Linked DNA regions of Notamacropus eugenii. The protein of the gene in region 2 binds, or shares a complex with, the protein of the main gene of each other region. Links are inferred from orthologs where the notes say so. Each region holds a gene or a part of one and is shown on either strand. Other genes may lie near its edges.

Region 1 (7,826 bases), on a different chromosome or scaffold from region 2:
TGTTTCCCCTCTATAGTCCCTCCTGGACCTCTGCAACTTTCTAACTCTGTCTGTCCTCCATATCTGGACTGGACTGCATCTCTTAGAATCCCTAGCTTCCTAAAAAGCATAATTCGGGTGCCACTTCCCATTCAAGGATTTTCCTGGTCCTCCCTCCACCCATTCAGCCCCCAAATATTAGTGTTTTCAATCTCGTGTAACTGCTCTGTACTACTTCATTTTGGGGGTACTTACTTAACCATGCACATGTTGTACTGTCATAGAACCTAAGTTCTTTAAGGGTAGAAACTGCTTCATTTTTGTCTTTGTATCACAGTAGGTACTAAATAAATACGGTTGAACTAAATTGCTAAGTTTTATCTGATTCTACTTCTGGAACTTTTTTTTTACATCCACTTCCTAGTCACTCTGAACACCACCATGATTAAGGTACTCGATACTTCTCACCTGGACTAATGGAGCAGCCTTTCAACTGTTCTGTCTCCCAGTAGGGAAATCTCCCCTCTCCAAATCCCATCTTCTGCTGTCAAAATCATCTTCAAAATTCCAAGGTCAGAATCATCCTCCCCACTCCCCTGATTCAAAGACTTTCATGTCTCCTCGTTAAACATACTCAAACTCCTTACACTAACATGCAACCTAACTCTTTAGCATTATTTAATAATGACAGCTTCCATTTATAGAGAGATTTAAGGTTTATAATGCTTTCTCTACAGTCGCTCACTGGATACTAACAAGCTTGTTAAGTAGGAAATATGACTATCACTCCACTTTACAATGAGAAAACTGAAGCTGAGAGAGGCTAAGTGATTTTTTTCATGGCTACAAAGCTCCTTAATGTCCAAGTAACACAGGTTTCTCTGCTTCCAATGTCGGGACTCTTTCCACTACCCTACACTTATTTCACATTATTGACCTTAACGCACTCTATGTTCCGGCCAAACTGGATTACTGGCTGTTCTCCAATAGCATTCTTGAATTCTACAACCTTTGTAGTTAACAAAGGGGCTGGCTTAACGGAATAGAACCTGCATCTATCCCCTATTCCTACAGTGGTTCATTTGCATATGTCTGCCTTTCTTTTCTCCCTAAGATCTAGCTCAGATGCCACTTCCTTCAAAAAAATCTTACTGATTTCCTCAGAAAGTAGCAATTACCAGAATCTTCTGACCTCTCCAATGCATTTATCACAGCCTATATAACGGTAATAAAGTACAGCTCATAGCTGTGATATAGTTTAGTATAGCTACACTTAGTTCTTTGTGTATTTGGCTCTAACCCTCAAAGAGTTTACAATCTAAAAGAAAGTTATGTCCCTTTTGCCCTATCATTGTATCCCACAGTACAATGATCACAGTAGACACTTAGTATTTTAATTGCATTTTTAAAAGAAATATTGCATAGAGATATGTTGCAAATAAATTGGAGTGTTTAGTATTGCACACTTTTCAAATTTCAGGTTTAGACCATGGGTAATTCTGGACCAAAATGAATTAATATAAGAATAACCTACTCCTCTTCCTTTTACCTATAGTTTATACCAAAACCTTACACCCAAAGTCTAGTCAGAGGATAGAGATGGGGGGGAAGAAGAGAGTCCTCATAGGTAGTATAGAGGATTGTAGACTAGCCTGGGTAATGGCAAGTTGCCAGCTACTCCTTTAATTTAACCATCTACTTCCCCAGACTATTAAAAAAAAATTAGCTCTCCTTAATGAAGCTTCTAAGGAGTTGTTGATTCAATTGGGGGAAAAAGTTGATGGTGGGAAACTAAAGGGGCCAACTATGAAGAGAAAACATTTTACTATTTTCTTCCCAAAATAGAGTAAGAAGTATCAACAAATTCTAAGGCACACAGATGATGCCTTCATATCACACTGGCAACCCTAAACTCACTAGGAACATGGCAAAATTGGGATAACTTTCCTGTCAAGACATTTTTTTCAAGTCTTTTTTTTCCAAAAGCCCAAAACAAATTTTTTCACTATACAGTTACCAAGAAAAGTATACTTGTTTGCTCTTAAGACACAAGGCAAGAAATTTTTTTTTCCACTTTAAAAAAATACTTAACCAATGTATCCCTCTTAAGCAGTTGCTGATACTGGATACCCAAATGATTCCCACAATTTTATACTGACTTAGAAGCCCCAATGTATACAAGTCTCTAAGAAGTTATTTCCTATTACAATCCACTTTGTGCAAACAAAACCCTAGTATCTAGCACTTAATACATAAATGGGCCACTTTTACCACTTATCTAATTCCTAAGTATCTGAGAAAATTGGTTCGGAGATGGTCTGGTTTCTGACACTGCCACAGAGAAACCAGTCAACACGAAATGCCTCTTGATCAATTTTATTACAAGATGCCATTCTTGTTTCACTGGTTAGGTAACATTCAATGCCACCTTTCAAAATTAAATCAAATATACAAGAGACTGATTTCTTTTTTTACTACAGAGTTTTACCAACATTTTTTAAAAGCCACTTTTAATTATTTATTTAGTTGCAACAGCATAATTACTTTATTTCATTGAATCATGAGTTTCAAAGCCCATTTCACAACATCCACTATCACCACCTTCACTTTAATATTTCTAAGAGCACATAGCTAAAACATAACTGAAAATGCAGCTGCCATCCTCAATTGCACGTACAAGTTTATAAAAATCTGAAATTCCTAAAACGAAAGCATCTCTCATGAGATGAGGCTTTTAATTTCCTTTAAAAAAAAACTTTGAAGAATGCCATTTACTCAATTCAACAAAAATTTACTGTGCACCTTAATACGCAAGGCACAGTTCTTAGAAATGGTGACAGAAGTGACAGTTATACACCTTAATGTTCTCAAAGTGTTTTTCTCACAAGTACCAAGAGAAATAAATAGCAAACATCATTTTTATTCTGATTTGACAGATAAAGAAACTGAGACCCAAAGAATTTAAATGACTTACTCAGCTATTAAGTATCAAAATTAAAGTTTAAACTCAGATTTACCATTCGCAAAATCAGGTCTCTTTCTTCTACCAAGAGGAGTTTTGTTTTGGTTTTTTTTTTTGCCATTTGGCAGTCCGGTGAAACCTAAAGAAGCCTTGTCAGAAAAATGTTTTTAAATGAAAAAAAAAAGAATCCAACAGCATAGAATTACAAAGGAAATAAATTATATTAAAATTGTTGTCAAAATATTTTTTATAACAAGTTGACATCCTCCTGACCTAAGGCCTAGGCCTTCCCATAGCAAACTCACAACGTAATAAGATTAAGTTCATTACACAAATAACCTAAAGCATAAGGGAAAAAATGTTAAGCCCCTAAGAAAGGTACAGAGTGCCATGGGGGTTGTTCTCTAGCCAGATGAAAGATTATTGACCAGAAGTCATCAAATTGCTTAGAACAGGGATGAATCCCAAAAGACTGGTCACCAAGATTATTTACGTAAACCTGTAAAGCCATGTTGGTTAATTTTAAGAAAAAATTACACCATGTACATATTACTTTGATATAGTAAAAAAACAAAGATATTTTGTGTCTATATGTGGAGAGCGGTGATGTAGATTTTATATCCTAATAATTCTGAAGCTATTTAAAATAGCATCAACTTATAAAGGTATGAGGACACTATAAAGGGCGTCCCAAAAGTCTTGGTACAGTTTGAAACTGCAGTAAGATTTTGGAAAACACTGTATGTCAAAAGGCCAAAAAAATGTTCACAACCAGACAAAAACTGCTCCAAAAAACGTACTTTTTGGTCACGATGCTGGAAAGTATCGACATAAAGTTCGGAGGGGTAGCTAAGCGATACCCCATGAAAACAGGAAGTCAAACTAAAAAAAAAAAATATGGTGTCCTGGAATCTGCTGAGGGGCGTCCGAGGCGAGGAGGGGAGGCGAGTAACATTGTATCCACGGCAGGGATCGCCTCCTGCCTCCTCTCTCCTCTCCGGGGTCTTGTGGAAGCGGATTTGTCCCAGAGGGTCCCCTTGGGCTTCCCTCCCCCCGTGGCTCCACAACAAGCTCCTCCAAGTTGGATACTGGAAAAGCTCTGCCTGCAAAGCTGGTTTTAAAAAGCACCCCCCGCCCCCCGGCACCCCGCCTTCCCGGGCTCCTGGCCCGGCCCGCCGCACCAGTCCGGACCTGCTCGGCTCCGCTTTCTCCCTCCCCCTCCGCCCTCTGCCCAGGGGCTGCCCCAAGGGGGCTTCTCCAACCTCTACCCTCATTTCCCCCCTTCGGCCTAGAACACCTCGAGACCCACAGTAAAGGGGGGCATCACTCCTCCCCGGAGCCGGGAGCTTAGAGGGAAGAGGAGGAAAGCCTCGGCGGGGCAGAGTCCCTCCCTGGAGGCCGGGGCGGCCTCTCCACCCGGCCAGGGCCACGTTCACGCCCACAGCTCCCCCGCCCGCGGCGGGGAAGGTCTGCAGGACCCTCTTCTCCTCCACTTCCTCCTCCCTCCTTCCTAGAGCAGGCGGCGTGTCCGGGTGCACGGAGCCCCCGAGACCTCGCCCTCCCCGGGCCCGGGGGGCGGAGGCAGCCTCGCCGGCGCACCCCCTCCCGGAAGGGTGAGCGGAGCTGGCGGCTTGGGGGGTTCTGTTTACCGGGAGAAGTTCCTCACATTCCCACAAACTCACACAGTCACACCATCGCACCCTGGCACTGCCACAAACTCAGGCACGCACTCACGCCCGCTCCTTCCCGCACGATTCCCTCTACCACACTCTCGCACGCCCGCTCCCCGCCGCTCTCACCTGCATCCCGGGCAGGCCCGGCTGCACGGGCGAGTGAGCCATGGCTGCGCCGCCGCTCCGGACCGACCGGGCCGGGCCCCTTCCCCGCGGCGACGGCGGCGGCGGCGGGCGGATCGGACGAGGAGCAGGACGGGCGGGCGGCAGCGGCGGCCTGCCCGGCCCGGCACCCCCACGCTCGTCCCGGCCGGGGCGCCGGGGGCTCGGGGATCAGCGGCTGGTGGTGGGCCGCGCAGTCTCCATGCACGACGGCCGAGCGGCAGCGCCTCCTCCTCTTCTTCCTCCTCCTCCCGGGCAGGCAGAGGCAGAGGCAGCGGCGGCGGCGGCGGCGGCGGCGGCTCCTTCCGGACTCTCCGGGGCGGCCGCGGGACGCTCGGCGACTCCCCACGCACACCCAGCCAGGAGCCGTGTCCGCCCCGCCCAGGGCAGCAGCAGCAGCCCCCGCCCCCGCCCCAGCCTCCGCCCCCTCCTCCTCCCCCTCCCCCCGGCCGGCCCCGGGGTGTGGGATCCCCCCTCCCCGCCCGGTGTTTCCGGGAGAAGGAGGCGGCCTCCGACAGACAGCCGGCCCCGGCAAACCCGAGTCCGCAGCCGCGAGAGCTCCGCACCTTCCGGGGCCTCGGGCGGGGGCGGGGGCGGGCTCCTGGGAGGGGAGGAGTCCTCGCGGCCGCCGCCGACGCTGATTGGGCTGCGGGAGCGGACGGAGAGGGCGGGGAAGGGGCGACGCGGCGGCGGCGGGGTCAGCCTACCCCTCCCCCAAGGCCGGGGCGGGGGGAGGGCCAGGAAGTGGGGTGGCGGGGAGCGATCTCCGCGGTCTGGGGCACCAGGAACTGGGGCTGGCCGCGAGGGTTGGGCATCCAGTCCCCAGTCCTCCCCTGGCCGGAGTACCCAAGGGACGGTAACCGAAGCCGGCCAGGGGGAGGGCCCCCTCTCAGAACTCCCTCGCGTCCTCACCTTTCCCCTCCTGCTCCTCCGCTGTCACGCTGTCACTACTCGGGCTAAAAGAAGCCCTCCCGGTGGAAATCAATAGTCCTTCCCCGGCCCCTCCGAACGAGTCCTGGAGGCAGAGCGGGGGAGGGGAGGCAGCTGGAAACAATGGGGAGAGGAGCCAGTGGGTGCTCCCACGGCCCACGGACTTCCCAGCCCGGACAGAGGAGGAATGGAGGAGGGCTCTCCAGGGGACTGGAGTGCTGGAAAGTCCATGACCACGGCTTGGGAGCATTGAGCCCCGCAGGCACCCCAGCTACCGACAAATGACAAGGGACGTGGCTGGATTCCTTCGTCTCCGAGCCCCGAACCCAGGCGAACGAGTCCACCCCACGGGCGTGGGAACCAGGGAACCAAGAAAGAATAGTGAGCTCTTGCGTGTAGAGCTCTTAGCAAAGTCCAAAACGCTTTACCCTGGGCGGCTCTGCCAGGTGGTAACGCAAATATGGTATTCCTTCCCCCCTCATACAAAGATCTTTCAGTAACTTCCCTTGGTCTCAGTAGCCAGGGACGCCAGAACTTCTGACGCCAAGCCTCATGTCTGTCCTCTGCACCACACTGCCCGCTAATACTCTGATTTGGCTCCTATGTCATCCCATTCCTAATTTAACCCACGCTCAGGAGTTTCTGGGGAAGAAAGGAGGTGCTGGATATGGCATCATAGCACCTTGGTTGGAATCCCAGCTTGGGGATTTCCTACCTGTGTGATCCTGGGTCCTGAATCTGTAAAAAGAGGGAATTAAGTTACATTGTTTCTAAAATCCTTTCCACCTCTTAGGTTAGATTGTTTCTAAAATCCTTTCCACCTCTTAGGTTAGATTGTTTCTAAAATCCTTTCCGCCTTTATGATCCGTTCTTACTCGCAGTCCCACGGCCCTGAACCATTTAGCCATCTTTTTGTGTGTGAAATAGGCTCCAGCAGCCAACAGGAAAATAAGTCAAAAGAACTTTATTCCTTTCTCCCTCCCTTCCTCCATTTCTTTCCCCCTTCCTCCCTCCCTCCCTTCCTTTCAAAAGTGGAATAACCAGTAGGTCCTGAAACTTCTCTTTGGTCTCACTTTGGCTGAAACAACACTATTTACTATTCAATCAGGGGCAAAGATTTCCTTGCCTATTTCTCCATCAGCTCCTGCTGTAATATCTCCCTTAGAGTGCTGCACAAAGGGAAATGAGAAGTGGCTTCTCTAATGCTCTAGGTAACCTTGAAAAAGTCACAACTTTTCTGGACCTCAGTGTTTTCAGTTGTAAAATGAGGAAATTAGACTTGAGGGTCTTTTCTAGCTCAGATTCAGGTTGAAGGCCTTAACTCTTCTGTAGATTAGATTCCACTTTCTATGAAGAAACAAGATCATAGAATTAGAGCTGGAAAAGACCTCAGGGTCCATCTAATCTAACACCTTCATTTTGCCAGCAGACAACTGAAGCCCAGAAAGGTTAAATTACTCACTCAGCCTAGTTAATGGCAAAACCTCCTGATTCCAAATGCAGTGCTCTTTTTACTATATCAAGCTACGTGGTTAATCCCACAAATAATATTGAAGTCATCCCCTAATCTTGTTCTTTTCCTGATCTGTTATCTTTCAAGAATAAAAGCCAAAGGGTTTGGGAGTTCAGTGTGAAATTATGATATCAGATTCATAAATGGAGCCATAAGTTGAATTAGTAATGCTGTCCTTTTTGTGAGAAAAAAAGTCCCTTTGCTTCCATTAACAAGTATTTATGAAGCACTTACTATGTGCCAGGCACTGTGTGAGGCTCTGGAAATACAAAAAGTTAGACGATGTCTTGGGAACACATCTGCTTTTAGTCTTACATGAGACATGACATTAATTTAACCATACTAGGCAGAATATGAAAATGTAAAGCTTCCCACAAAGTACCATCAAAAATCTGATGAGAAAGAAACCATTTCTAGTTGGGTGGACTGGGATTGGCATGAAGAAAGGCAGTACCTGATTTGGACCCTGGGAGATGGGAGGGAGTTTTAAGAAATTGGGAATTGGGGGTTGGGGAAATTAAAGTATATATTCCAGGTTCAATGAATGGAGTAAATACAAATGAGCAGAGATGGAAAAGAACTGGGCTAGAACAGGAAATGGAGAGTT
Region 2 (7,943 bases):
GGTCTAGTTGTTGGTCCTAGTTTCTGCCAGACTGCTTTCCAATTTTCTCAAGTTTTCTCAAATAGCAAGTTCCTTCCCAAATAGCTGGTATCTTTGGGTTTATCCAACACTACTAAGTGACTGTGCTCATTTGTTTCTGTGTATCTATTTGTGCTTTTGATTTAGTTTGCTCCTGTCTTCTTTAGAAGCTTGCTCATCACTCTCATCTTCAATGTCTTCCTATCTACTGTCTTCTTCAATGATGCCACATAAACAAGCTCTAGTCTCCTCACTTAAAAAAAGCAAACACCTTTCTTTAAACCTGCTACTCCCTCAAATTATTCTGTCTTTCTCTCCTTCCTTTTACTGCTAAACAACTAGTAAACGTAATGAACGCTGGCTGCCTCCTCTTACTACTTGTTCTCCAAAGTAGCCAATGATCTGGTGGCTAGACTTGATGGGTCATTTCTAAATTAACTCCCTCCTTGATCTTTTTGCAGTTTCTAACAATGTTGACCATTCCCTTCAGGAAAGTGTCTTTTCTCTTGGCTTCTGAAACACTGCTCTTTTCTGGTTCTTTTTCTACTAATCTGACCTTTGCTAGTTAAACTTCTTCTATGCCCTAAGCATCTCCTCCAATGCTTTGTCCTAGGCCCTCTTTATTTTATCTTTAAACTTTTCCCCTTTGTGATCTCACTGGCTCCCATAAGTTTAATTATTACTCTACACTGATGACTCTGACATCTCTATATCCAGACCTGTTTTCTCTACAGAACTCCAGGTCTACATCTCCACTTTCTTATGCATAAATCTGAACAAGCAACTCCCCTGGTGAACAAGACACTGCATCTCTCAGTCCTGGGTATTATCTCTGACTGTCCCCCCATGCTTTAAATGTTCTCCCTCCTCTGCTCTGCTCACCTCCCTTGCCTTCTTTAAGTCCTAACTAAAATCCTACCTTTTATAGGAACCCTTCCCTACTCTCTCTTAATTCCCGTGTCTTCCCTCTCTTTATTATTTCCTGTTTATTCTATACACAAATCGCTTTGCATATATTTGTTTGCTTGTTGTCTCCCCCATTAAATTGCAAGCCCTTTATGGATAAGGACTGTCTTTTGCCCTTTTTTCTATCTCCAGCTCTTAGCACAGTGCCTGGCATATAATAGGTGCTTAAAATATGTTTAATGATTTATTGGTTCCTTGTTTCCTCTAGAATAAAATACAAACTCCTTAGGTTGGCATTTAATAACCTAGTAAGTCACAGCTACAATCTTACTTTCTACAGGAAGCCTTTCCTAATCTCTCTTAAGATAAGTGTTTTCTATTGATTATTTCCAATTTATCCCGCATGTAGCTTGTCTGTTTGCATCCTGGGCCATCTCCAGTTGTCCTGATAAATATCAGGCCACTGTAACCAGATGGCTCAGGAGAAGAAAGAGAGGTTGTTGATTTTGCACAGCCCTCCCTCATTCAAATCAAAGTCAACTGCAAGTCATGTCATCATCTTAATATCATGGTCCTCTTCGAGAAGGAAGACAAACACAACCTGTGAATAACAGCTCCTCTCCTTTCCTCTCCTCTGGTGTTCTACCTAGGGGAAGGTACACTCCATGGCCAAAAGTTGCTTTTTTTTCTTTTGGTTTATGGCTACATTTCTTGCTTAAAGATCAAGCCTTAAATTCAATTCACTCTGGAGCTCGTAGACTAGACAAGTCTCTACCCACCTAGTATAAAGCGAATGTAATAACTAAATAGTAATTGTTTCTCTTTTACCTAGGAACCCGGAGGGTCTTCCCCTCCCAGCTTGATTTTTTTTTTAAAAATTAAATCAGTCATCCCTTGAGTAACATAAAGAAGCCTATTCATTGAACAGGTGAATCTCACTCAAAGTGAGAATGTGATAAGACCTAAGCCTGAAAGGGCCAGGGTCTCACATTGCATCCTGGGTCATCTCCAGTTGGCTCAGAAGAAAGTGAGTTTGGTGACCTTGTGTAACCCTTCCTCACTCAAATCAAAGTCAGCTGCAAGTCATGTCATCATCTTGATGTCATGGTCCTCTTTGAGAACGAAGGACAAACACAACAACCTCCCTCACTGGATTGCGAGCTCCTCAAGAGCAGAGAATGTCTTTTACCTGTCTTTCTATTCCCAGTGTTTACTCACTGACTGTATTCTATGCACCAATCAAACTGGGCTCCTAACTATTCCCCAGATGATATGCCATCTTCGGCCTTTATGATTTTGCATAAATTATCCTCCTGGGAAGGCATTCCCCCTTCAGCTGTCCCTCTCAAGATCCCAGTCTTGGTTCAAGACTCATTTTAGGTGTCACCCTCTCCTTCCATGAATTACACTCCCAACAACCTCAAGCTAAAAATGCTCCATCTCTTCTCAGTTATTCCTAGAGCACTTTTTTTGAGATCTCTCCTTTACCCCCAAAACTAATGTTGTATTTATAGATGTATATGACTTATTCCACCCACCCCAGGAAAGGAGAATTTTGTTTCTGTCTTTGTATCCTTAGATATGCACCTAACACTGTGTTTTATGCCTCTTCCTCTCTCTCATGTTTCTTTTCATCTTCCAGACTAAACACCCTTCATTCTTTAATCCATTCTTTTTTGGAAGGCACTTAAACTCAAAGGAGAAGTACTCTAATTCTCACAAAAAGATTATTTACTCTAGATTTGTGGACACTTCTAAAAATAATGGTTATCTGGTTTCCCAGCCCGTAACAGATTGAAAGCAGCAAAGGGAAAGCAGGGTCAGAGAACATTCTGGAGAAGGGAAGACTTTCGTTGATGACTTGTTTTTCATTGAGGTTGGACTCTCTGTGATCCCATTTGATGTTTTCCTGGCAAAGGCACTGGCGTGGTTTGCCATTTCCTTCTCCACCTCGTTTTATAGATGAATAAACTGAGGCAAACAAGGTTAAGTGACTTGCTCAGGAACACCCAGCTAGTAAGTGTCTGAGCCCAGATCTGAACTCAGGAAGATGAGTCTTCCTTATTCCAAGGCCCTGGGCTCTATTCACTGTGACACATAGCTGCTCTTAAGACCTTTATCCACTCGATCATTTTTTCTTTACCTGATATGGTGTGCTGCCCTGTACCATTTTGTTTATCCCCCTTTGAACAAGAAAAAATGTGGTCAAGGTCCATTTGATGATGTAGCCATAAAACTAAATGCAGTACTCCAAGCAAAACAAGCATATCAGAGATTCTGTTCTAGTCTTCAAATTCACGTTAACAAATTACTTGTCTCCACGCTGCAGAAAATTGGCAAAGCACTTAAATATAAGCAAATTTCAAGGATACGGGGCAAAGTACATTTAATTTCCCAGAGAACAGTTGGGAGGGGAAATTTAAAAAGGTTACACAATCTGAGATCATACAAGCCTTGAAAAGTACCTGAAATTCTTACTTTTAGAAATTCATTCCCAAAATTTACAGATTTCTTTACACAAGCAAATTATCCTTCAGGGGCTAACACAGTAAAGAAGTCATTGCAATATCAAACATTTACTTTAATAAATTTATCAGAGATAGTAAGCCAGTTACTTGGGGAGACCCATAAAATAGATTTTGGCTAGGGTGTGGCTGGAGAAGAAAGGAAGGGACACAAAAATGAGGAACAGGAAGCCTGAGGAAGTTGGAAAGAAGCACTGGATTCAGAGCAAGCCAACTTGGGATTAAGCCCAAACGGACCTTCGCTATTTACTATGCGTAACTATGGACAAGTCAGGCCTTGTGGGCCTCAGTTTGTACATCTGTAAAACGGAAGCTTTGGGACTGCGTGACCTGAGGTCTCTTCCAGTCTGAAATCCTATTTTAAAATGGGGACTGATAAACCTTATGCCAGGTGATGGGGATACAAAAGAGGCAAAGAGACTCTAGGGAGGTGGTTGGAAGGGAACTCTCCCATGGAAGCTACAACCCCAGGAACAACCTTATCCGCCGTATTTAACGGAACAGGTCTTCGCAGCCCGGGGGAGAAGCGCGGCCCCCTCCCCGCCCCGACGTCCGCAGCCCAGTCTGGGAAGCAGTGCCAGCGAGGGCAGGGGGCAGCGCTGAGGGCACGTCCGACGCCGTCCTGGGCACCCCAGGCGAAGAGGGAAGGAGAAAGGGAAACTTCCCCCCTCCCACGGGCCGCACACGGGCCGGTCACCCTCAGCACGCTCTTCCAGACCAGACCGCAGCAAAGTGTGGCCCTCCCCCACAGAGCCGGAGCCGCGGTCCGGCCGAAGTCCAGCGTGGGAAGAACCAAAGCGGGCTCCGGGTCAGCCGCGGAGCCTGAGTTACTACCAGAACGGAGAAGAGGCCGGCACGGGCCAAGAACCGAGGAAGAGGGAGTGACAGACAGACAGACGCGGAGGGGCGGCGGGAACCACGCAAGGAATGCCAAAGAAATGCGAGGAATGCGGCGCCGGAACAGCAGAACCGGCTCCAATCCGGCCCTGGCGGCGGCCTCCCCGCTCGTCCCGCGGCGCTGGGTGCGGGGATACAGCCGGGCGGGACGAGCTTACTCGGGAAGGTAGCAAAGAGGAAAGTCCTGCGGTCCAGATTAAGTCAGAAGAGGAGCCACCGAGTCCAGCCCGGGCAGCCCAGCCAGCCCAGCCCGGGCAGCCCAGCCCGGGAGCCGAGCTGCTGTGGGCGGGGGAGGGGGACGCCCCCACGGCTCCTCCCACCTCGCGTCTTGGCCCCTCCCTTCCTCAGTGCGCTTGCGCAACGGTGGAGCCCGACTCTATTTGGCTATAAGATTTGCGGCAGCGGCACCAGCGTCGCTTACCCAGCATGCCGCGCGGGGGCGACGGCTGTACGACTACCCCTTTCCCTCCCCCGTCCCCCCACGTTACCCTCCTTTCCCCCTCCCCTCCGCCCCCCCTCCCTCCAGTGAGTGAGTGAGACGGGCAGATGGAGGAGGGACTGTAATGGCGGCGGCCGGCAGCTCCCTGCTCTGACCCGCGGCAGACACTTAGCAACGACCCCCTCCCCGCCCCTCTCCCCGCGGGCCGCCGCCCAGCCGCCCGCGCGGGGCCACCTTCCTCCTCCTTCCCCCCCGCCCCCGGCCGTCCGCGTTTCCCCCCGCGCCCCGGCCGGGGCCCCTCACACAATGGATGAGCTCCCGGGAGGCGGCGGCGGCGGCGGCGGCCCGGGGATGGCAGCCCCTCGGCAGCAGCAGCAGGGGCCGGGGGTCAACATGAACCTGCAGCCGGGAGTCGGCGGCGGCGCGGCTCAGCCGGCGGCGGCGGAGGGCGCGGGCCCCTCGGCGGGCCCGGAGCTGTCCCGGCCGCAGCAGTACACGATCCCGGGCATCCTGCACTACATCCAGCACGAGTGGGCGCGCTTCGAGATGGAGCGGGCGCACTGGGAAGTGGAGCGGGCCGAACTGCAGGTAGCCGGTCGCGGGACCCCGGGGTGGGGAGGACGGCGGGACCTCGACGGGAGGGTGGAGGGGGTGGGGCCCGCGCGGGGATCCCGGGCCCGAGGGCACCGGCTGGGCGAGACGTACCTTGGGGGCCCGGGCCGAGGAGGAGCGGCGGCGGCGGCGGCGGCGGCAGGTCCCGGCAGGGGTCCCCTCCCCCTCCTCCCTCCCGCGGCGGGAAGCCTTCTCGGCGGCCCTCACTGGCTGCGCGATGCGGGCTTCCTCGGGGCAGCCATTTTGGTTTCTAGTATGGCGTCCGCCGGGGCTTCTCCGGCGGCTGCGGCGGCGCCGGCCCGACCTGGGGAGCCGTGGCCCCGGGACGATCCCTCCGCCGAACCCCCGGGGGTGGGGGGAGGGAGGCTGGCGGCGGGACGCGCGCGCGACGGCTGCCCTCAGCCCTTCCCCCCCTCGGGTCAGACACCCCGGCCCGGATCGTGCCGGACTCTTCCTCCTCCCCTTTTCTCCTCCTCCCAGCAGGTCCTCCCCCCGCCCCCCACCTGCCCTTTGACAGCTGCCCTCCCCGGAGCATCCCCGCTCCCTCCGAAAAGGATCTGAAGTTTGCTCTGCGCGCGGCCGAACTTGGCTTGGGGGGCCCGGTCACCTAGGTGGTGTCCCCTCCCCCCTCTCCCTTTGGGTCCCTAACGTGCCCCAACTTCGGGCCAACTCTTGAACTCTCGGATGATGAATAATTCTTAAGTTTGCTTCACTTATCCCTGAGTCCCAAGCAGTCACTTCCTTCTGTCTGCTGCTTGGTGTTAGGAAACAGAGGAAAGGGCAGATTGGACTTAAATCGGGCTGGAATAAAGAACAGTTATTTGCATATTTCAAACTCCCTTTTGGGGGAGGAAATGGAAAATGAAGTATGCCTCACCCTGAAAAATGGGAAGAACACGAGTGTATAGGCTTTTGCAGCAGAATAGGAGCTTGGATTTAAGAACCTATTGTTGGTGTATCTGTTGGGAAAGAATGTTTTAGTGGACAGTACCAACGTGTTTATTTTTAATCCCTTTCCAAGGCAAATTTAGGACTGGGAGGTGGGGTTGGACAGCGTCTCTGCTACAAAGTATTGCACCTGTTTTGTTTTTTTGATACAATGTTGCGTGCAATATTGTAGTTCGGTGTACGTGTGCACGCTAAGTAGTTACGGAAAGATAATATGGAGGGGAAACTACCTATTTAAAAAGATTTCATCTCACATGTCTTAATCAGGCCAGTAACGTTTTGGAGTCAATAGGGTTTTTTTTTCCTTTGGTCTTATAAATAGTGAAGTCACAAAATGAGGTTAATGATTTTTTTTTAAAGTGAAAATTATAATTTTGCTTTGGAAATTGTCTTTATCAAGCCTTAGAAAATAAGATTATGAGATTAATTCGATTCCTGTCAGCTTTTTTTTTTTTAAACATTTGTGGATTTTATCTCTTATTTTATAGTATTGGACTTTAAAAACATGAAATTTTTAAAAAGTGTTTTTATGTAAACAGTGCTTTCTGCCTTTTATACTTTGGGGTATAATGATACATGGTATATTGTGCATTTTAAATGACTTGCTGAAAGTTTGTAGTGGCCTGCAGATAGTGTTATATACTGTCTACTACACAGTTACCCATGTAAGTGGACTAATCATTTAGAAAAGGGTTTTTAAAAAGCATCTGTGTTGGAAATTGAATTTATTTCATTATACGAGTGTTGTCCATAATAATGTTGTCCATAAGTACGTAATAAAAATTTGTGCAGTGTGGTTGATCGGTTTGAAACGGCATTAGGAAGAATTATTAGGTATGATCATTTGTCCTATTTTTTTGTTGGTGGTTTTGAAATGCAGTAATGCAGTCTAAATGTTGATGACTGGTGTATTTTATATGGAATCAAGCCTGGGATTTGTATTTTAGGACTTTTCTAAATAAGAATTTCATCAGTCACTCTTAAACTGTAGTGTAACACAAGCAAAAGAGATGTTACTGGTTTACTAGTGGAGTTGTTAGTGATGTTAATCCTATGATATCTATTTTGACCTTGCCTTTTCTATCCTTTCTCCTTCTGAAACTCCTTTTCCCCTGCAGCAACCTATCTATGCTTGCCTGTTCTGGGAAAGTCTTGTCCATGTTCTCTTGAAAATCTTCCACAAAAGATGGTTCTAATCTATTTATCTTGGGGACGATCCTCTAGAATTCTTCACATTACTAAGTCACTGGGATCCTGGGTGCTCATTATTAGTTATCCATACTCTTGCTAGTGACAATCCTTTTTTTTTTTCTCTAAAGTCTGATAAACTGTTTCTCTTGTGTAGCTCACACCCACTGTGTGCCTCTATTTGCCTCTAACACTTCAGAAATCCTAGTACAATGCAAAGAGCAGAGGATTTGTAGTCAGACAAGCTGAGTTCGAATTCTAGTTCACAGTTAATGTGAACCCACCCAAGTCACAGAACCTCTCTGAGACTTAGTTTCTTTCCACTTCTATAAAAATATAAGGGGTTTGAACTGGATTACTTTTAAAGTTGCTGCCAGCTGTATCTGTGATTCATCTGTGATCACATATGT

The links. Proteins that work in one complex are often made in the same cells at the same time.
Region 1: STRN3 (region 2) and STK24 share a complex: the UniProt entries of both Homo sapiens proteins name them as parts of the core of STRIPAK complex. The link is inferred for Notamacropus eugenii from reciprocal best matches to the Homo sapiens genes STRN3 and STK24.

What each region holds. Positions count from the first base shown.
Region 1 is NC_092877.1:228,121,772-228,129,597, reverse strand, and holds the start of STK24 (serine/threonine-protein kinase 24), read right to left. Parts: upstream 3,096-7,826; 5' UTR 3,063-3,095; coding exon 2,997-3,062; intron 1-2,996. UniProt on the Homo sapiens protein: Serine/threonine-protein kinase that acts on both serine and threonine residues and promotes apoptosis in response to stress stimuli and caspase activation.
Region 2 is NC_092878.1:47,716,087-47,724,029, reverse strand, and holds the start of STRN3 (striatin-3), read left to right. Parts: upstream 1-4,882; 5' UTR 4,883-5,091; coding exon 5,092-5,373; intron 5,374-5,490; exon of another isoform or gene 5,491-5,614; intron 5,615-7,943. UniProt on the Homo sapiens protein: Calmodulin-binding scaffolding protein which is the center of the striatin-interacting phosphatase and kinase (STRIPAK) complexes.